Macaca mulatta: one gene and its partner. The protein of the gene in region 1 interacts with the protein of each later gene in a pairwise test. Links are inferred from orthologs where the notes say so. Each region holds a gene or a part of one and is shown on either strand. Other genes may lie near its edges.

Region 1 (2,594 bases):
GCAAATTTTTGTATTTTTAGTAGACATGGGGTTTCACCATGTGGGCCAGGCTGAAGGAGGCAGATTTTTGTTCCAGCTTATCTTTCTAAAAATTCCAAAAGAAAATAGACTATCATTAAGAAGCAGTGAAATTTTTTATCACTAGGAGTGAAACAGGAGCTAAAGAACATTTTTGGGGGATGTGATAGAGAGGATTTATTCATTTGATAATGGTTAAAACACATAACCTCTGAGATCTCTGTAATCTCAGATGCTTTTGTTCTGTAATTCTAAATCCAAGGGTCTCTATAGATAGGCTTGAGACAAGTGTAAACAAACTCATGATCTCAGAGAAATCTTCAAGTGGCATGTTTCAATGGTATGCTTATTAAACAAATGCTCATGACAGATTTTCACAACAGCAACGAATGTTATTTCACAACATCAAATCTTCCTTCCTCAGGAAAAAATGACATTAACAAGAAGGTTGATGGATTTGGATTATTTTTCATGTGTCCTGGAGGTAAAACCAGTGTCCTCACTTGTTTTCCTCTTTTTCCTCATTTTGAAGACTATCTGTTTTCATTTTCTTTACCTCCTCTCTGGCTACGTGTCCCCGGAAGGCAGCTTGGATTTTGACAGCAGCAACCTCTTCTTTTTCCTTATCTTCCTCAGAAGAGTCCTTCATCGAAAGGAGAAAAAGTAAGAGACTCTTTAAACATGCCGTATTTTTGATGCCATAAAAATAATGCAACAAATTTAATCAATTTAGGGATGCAACTATCTGAGAGTTGTTGCTTCCTGAGGGAATTTCATATATTGTCACATTGTATATGTACCAAATAGCAAATGCCAAAATAGCAGACATTTTGTTCGCCTGAGACACAAAAAGGAACTCGGAAGTTTGAACTTCGACATTGTAGAGAGTGAGTTCTTCTTTCTATGAGGACTAGTCCACAAGAGTCTGGAGTATGAAGAATACAGATAGATATTAGAAGACATATCTTTTAATATGTCTCTGCAACGAAAGATCATTGCCAACTTTCTTTCCCCCAAAATAGTGTCTATTTAAGTTTCCTGAGCAATAACATTTTTTGGGGGGTTTGGGGGGACAAGAAAGAATCTTTGAGGCATAGTAAAAATGTTAAGGAGAAAGAATAGTAAATGTTATGTTTCAAAATAATCACAATGATATATAATGAATTAGAATAACTTCTCAATTTCTCAATGATTAGCTAATCATAGTCATACATTTAAAGTGAGGTGCCAAAGAGAAATCCATTTAGTCCAATAATGTCAGTTTTAACATGGTTGGTTGAACTATGGCACATACCCTCTTTTAAAAAAAATTGGGTATAAATTTTTAGCTCTAAATTTACAGACAGTAAAATGCATGAATCTTCAGAGTACAATTGAATATATAGCTTTTAATATATCTTTTAAAATTATAGAAATGACATGTATACACTTTAAAAAACTCAAATGTCACTGGCAGTGATAATTTTCTCCCTCTATCCAAATCCTGCTCCTGGGAGATACCCATTATTATGAGTTGAGTATCTACATCCTTCCAAAATTTCTCTATATGCAAATATATTCATATGGGTATATATATATATGTGCCTTTTTATTTTAAAAATGAGATCATGCTAATCACAGAGTTCTGCAGCTACTTTTTCCATGTAACGATATATCTTGGTTCTCTTTTTCTGTGTTATTAGTCAGTGTATAACTCTACTCATTCTTTTTTTATGACATCATTATATTATACTGATGTACTTTTATTTAATATTTACTCAATCTCATATTAATGGACCTTTGGGTTGCTCAAGCCTCCTATCCCCCCATTATAAACAATGAGACAAATCTAGCTCTTAAACTTTTAAATGCAAACAGAATGGTACAAAATTCTTTGAGACGACATCCTAATATAGGCAAACAAATACACTCAAGTTTGAAATCAATGAGATCCCTACTCAAACTCAAACTCATGAAAACCTGTGTAAGAGCACCTATGAAAGATGTAAGGAAATAAAACTCCCTTCTTGCTTGACTTCCTGTTACATCTTAATGTTAATCTTCCTGTTATATCTTAATGTTATTTCAGTACAACCTAATAGTAAATAAATAAAATCCATTTAGTCCAATAATGTCAGTTTTAACATGGTTGGTTGAACTTTGGCACATACCCTCTTTTAAAAAAAATTGGTTATAAGTTTGTAGCTATAAATTTACAGACAGTAAAATGCATGAATCTTCAGAGTACAATTGAATATAATTGAATACAATGGAAATTGAATATAATTGAATATAACAGAAAACAATACAATTGAATAACCTGTACATCTTTTTTTTTTTCTTTTTTGAAACTGAGTCTTGCTCTGTCGCCCAGGCTGGAGCGCAGTGGCCTGATCTCAGCTCACTGCAAGCTCCGCCTCCTGGGTTTATGCCATTCTCCTGCCTCAGCCTCCTGAGTAGCTGGGACTACAGGTGCCCGCCGCCTCGCCTGGCTAGTTTTTTGTATTTTTTAGTAGAGACGGGGTTTCACCAAGTTAGCCAGGATGGTCTCGATCTCCTGACCTCGTGATCTGCCTGTCTCGGCCTCCCAAAGTGCT
Region 2 (4,193 bases), on another chromosome or scaffold:
CAGGAAAGTTTCAAAGTCCACACGCCGGGACTTCAGCTCTGGAGGTTGGAGAGAGATGAAGGAGAGGTCACTGTAGTATCACATAGGACCCGGCTCCCAACCCTACCACAATGCTTTCATCCTGTTCAGCATTTAGGATATTTTCCTGCTTCTGTGTTTGACAGTTTTTGAAGTCCTGAGATCCACCTCATTCTTTGTTACCAACATTCAACTTTTGAAAACTAAAAACCCAAATTGTTCCAAGGGTCCCCTCACCATCACTCTTGGGGTTCCCCAGGACCTTGAGCACCTCGGCGTTGGTGGGGTTCTGGCCCAGGGCCCTCATCACGTCCCCACACTGGCTGTACAGGATCTTGCCATCCCCTACTCGGTCAAACAGCTCGAAGGCCTCCTTGAACTCTAAGGTATAAGGAAGGGTCAGTGTAGACACTGACTAGGGGTTCCCATCACCCCCAGACAGAAGGGAATTTCAGAAACTATGTGAACAGAACAAGGGAGGAAAAGAGGACTAGTATGGGAGGTTTCAAGGTCGGGACTGGGGTTAGGGGAATAGAAAGAGAATCTGACCAGGGGATTGGGGACTGGACAGTGGGCTTAGACCAGCTTCTCCTCACCCTCCAGCTGGTCCTTGTTAAACTCGATCTGTGGAAGAAAAAAGCAGGTGGGGAGAGATGACAGTTTATTCAGTCCCTCTCCAGCACTCTTCCCAACCAACTGGCAGCCACTTCTGAGGAGGGGCCCAAAGGGACCAGGCTGGAAGCCCAGCCACCTCAGTCCCATTCCCAGCTCTGGGCCTTGGGAGAATCCCAAGAAGAGGAATTACAGTGGGGAGGGTTTCCTGGGAACAGGGTTAATCCCATGCCACCTGTTTCCCTCCCTCCATTGCCCTGAGCCCTGCATCCCTCACATAACTGGGGGCTGAACAAAGGCTAAATTTACCCCTGGCCCCCAGCTGTGATTGTCTAACAAGTCTGTCCTCTTCAGCCTCCCTTCCTGGAGTTCAGAGCTGCAGGCCTTTTGAGTTGAATCACCAGCCAGGGGCAGGCAACAGCTCTTTTCCCTTCACCTTGAAACTGTCCTCAGAACCCAGATGTTCCCCATCTAAGAGTCCCTGCCTCCAGCAGGGGGTAAGTGAGTGTGCATGTGCTGTACACACATGGTTATAGGTTAGAGGGAGAGAACAGCAAAGACAACAGCAGAGTCATAAGCCTGGATGCTTCCAAATGGGGGACTAAGGGAAAGCCCCAATCTCATTCCAGGGTTCATTGATTCCCTACCTTCTAGATACCCCCTAATCCCCTAAGCTGTATCTCACCCTCAAACCACCCCCTCCAATTATCTTCACTTTCCAGAGACTCACCACCACTTTGGAGAGATCGATTGGAGGCTCCTGGGTTTTCTGAGGGGCCTGGGGGACAGCTGGCTCAGCTTTGCTCTTGGCTGGAGGAGCCCCTGCTGCTGCTGCTGGCTTAGCAGCAGGTTTGGAGATGGAGGGCCCTGCTGGTTTCTTCACGGGAACATCCTTCTTGGGAGGCATGATGTCCGGTGGCCAAAGGACAGTGTGCGGATGGGGGCACCCATCTCTGTTTAAATAGCCAGGGAGTCTGGGATGTCAAGGGGCGGGGGCAGGGGCAGGGAGCCAGTTGGCTGTGGCGAGGATGAGGTAGAGGAGAGATATAACCGTCTGCCCTCACTCCCCTGGCCTCCTATGGTTCAGGACTCCTGCCCCAAGGTCTTCTTCCCTCTGTCCCCTCATCCCCAAAGGCTGTCCAGAAAAGAACAATGTTTCCTTTGAGGGTAGGGGAGGAAGCCAGGGACTGCCCAGAATGAGAGGTAGTTAACCTCCAGGGTGAGGATAGGATGCTTGCACTGAGATGGGGGTGGTGAGGCAAAGCAGGTGATCCAGCAGCTTTAGTCTTCTCGAAGGGTGGGGTGAGGGGTAGCAGTCAGGGAGGCTTGTGTGAACTGGAACAAGTTAAAGTGTGGTCTGGGAGCAATGACAAAAACAAGCAGCCCATCTGCCCAGCCCCTCCACTCCTTTCTGACCATGGCTTTGTAAAGAGCAGGGGTAGTTAACCCTACAGTCTAATAATCCCTAATACTTGTAGTTCCTGAGCCCGCACCCAGCCAAGAATTGAAACTATTCACAGTATAAAGGAAGAATAGTCATAGAAACAGGAGTGTGACATCCCTCATTGTCTCCTAGTGCGCAGTGTTGTTTTAGGGGAAGGAGTGGGGGCAAAGATCAGGTTTAACATCTGCTACCCATTCTTCCATGGAAGGAACCTTCTTCCACAAGACCACTGTCATTCAACACAAACAAAAGGTAGGGCGCTTGCTGAACCTGTGGGGACCCTGTGGTGGCACCCGAGAAGGGCGGGCTCTGGGAGAAGGCTTAAATTCCCTAATCCAAGAGGATGTGGGCACTCCTATGGCCTCCATGAGTATTCATCCCACTACCAGGGGTATAATAAAAATCCCGACTCAGGGGCCAGGTCACAAACCTTGCCGGGGGCACTGGGAGAGAGTCCAAGTTGGGGGGTGTTTGGGAGTGGGGAGGGGTTGCGGCCTACTTTTGTTCTGGGGGAAATTAGGAAAGGATTTAGGTAGCATTCTGAGGAAGATAGCAGTGACTCCACTTAGGCCCCGGGGTTGATGCTGGGTCTCCCATTCGCAAAACAGTGTCTGAATCTCATTACTGCAAACTGTCCCATTTTTACAAAATACATCACACACAGACACACACACACACACACACACACACACTCTCACACACCCCACTAAACCTTAAAGAAAGCGGCTCTCCTCAGCCCCCCAAAACTCACCCTGCGGGGTCCGCGTCTGTGGCTGGGGAGGGGGCGGTGCACAGCGCGGCCCCCCAGCCCTGAAGGGTTAATTCCGACGGCCGCGGAGCATGCCGGGAGTCGTAGTCCCCAGTGGGCTCACGGGATACGCCGCGCTCTAGATTGCAGCTGAGGCTAGGGCGGTGGCTTCCGGCCCATGGCGGCGTTTGGTGACTCAGTGTCCTTCCATGTCCCGGAACTGAAAGGCAATGAACAATTTCCAATCCACCCCAACCCTAAAACCCTGCAGGGTCCCTAGGGTATCCCTCCTACTTAGCCCTGGCGGGCTCCTAGTCTCGGGAGGCGGTGGGGGGGGGGGCGGTGGGGAGCGGGGCAGGTGTTTTCCTGGACCTACTGCTGAAAGAACTCCGAACCAGGGGAAAGGTTGAGGCTGCAGCAGGCAGCGTGGAGGTCAGATAGCTGGAAGCACTTACGGCCCCAGGGAGAGCGGCTGCGCTCTTTTTCGCTTCCTCTTGGGTTTGGTGGGAAAAAAAGAGGCCTCAGAGTAGTTTGTTTTTAATGAACTGGTTGCTGAAGTAAATGTTAAAATTTGCAATTAAGCCCAGTCACCTGCCCCAGCCTTCTGATCGAGGTTTCCATCCTGCGGCCGCATATGCGCTATCCTCCCCGGTCTTCATAGGTTCCTGAGCGGAGGGCTGGGCTTTCCAGACCTACTTTCTGAGACACTTATGGTCAGCATTGGAGTTTACTGGTTCCCCTAGGCGTTGATCAGAGGATGGGAACCAGCCCGGCCGGGCCCACCTTCATTCACTGGATCAGTAAATACACTGGCGGTGCACCTGGTGTTGGAGGCTGGGGCTGCACTGGCGTGTGAGGATTCGGTCAGAGCAGAAAACTCGGGCGAGGGCAGGGTGGTGAGGCACAGGTGAACTTTATGGGCAGTAAGTAAGGTTCACTGGTTCGGGAAAGTTTATTGGAAAGGTAGAAATGAATTGTACGACAGAAATAACGATGATAGTAAGTTAGCAACCATTTCTGGAGGCCACCATAGATCTGCTACCGATGAAGGGGTTAAATTATCTCAGAGGGTGCTCAAGTGCATGGGGTTCAGACGAGCCTGCTCATATTTGAATCCTGGTTCTACCAGGTGCTGGTTAGTGGCCCTCAGCAGGTTTAGTTGTCTCTCCTGGGCCTCAGTTCCTCATCTGTAAAATAATGATAATGGTACCTGCCTCATAGGGCTCTTAGGAGGATTCGAAGTGTTATTATTGGTAAAATAGGGCCGGGCTTGGTGGCTCACGCCTGTAGTCCCAGCACTTTGGGAGGTGAGGCAGGCTGGTCACCTGAGGTCAGGAGTTCGAGACCAGCCTGGCCAACATGGTGAAACCC

What was found.
Region 2: the proteins of SPA17 (region 1) and MYL6B interact in binary tests that used the Homo sapiens proteins (3 or more experiments, as listed by UniProt). The two-hybrid records come from large-scale screens. The link is inferred for Macaca mulatta from reciprocal best matches to the Homo sapiens genes SPA17 and MYL6B.

What each region holds. Positions count from the first base shown.
Region 1 is NC_133419.1:125,100,258-125,102,851, reverse strand, and holds the end of SPA17 (sperm surface protein Sp17), read right to left. Parts: intron 662-2,594; coding exon 518-661; downstream 1-517. UniProt on the Homo sapiens protein: Sperm surface zona pellucida binding protein. Helps to bind spermatozoa to the zona pellucida with high affinity. Might function in binding zona pellucida and carbohydrates.
Region 2 is NC_133416.1:63,303,987-63,308,179, reverse strand, and holds the start of MYL6B (myosin light chain 6B), read right to left. Parts: upstream 2,871-4,193; 5' UTR 2,826-2,870; intron 1,605-2,825; 5' UTR 1,538-1,604; coding exon 1,361-1,537; intron 643-1,360; coding exon 615-642; intron 400-614; coding exon 256-399; intron 39-255; coding exon 1-38. UniProt on the Homo sapiens protein: Regulatory light chain of myosin. Does not bind calcium.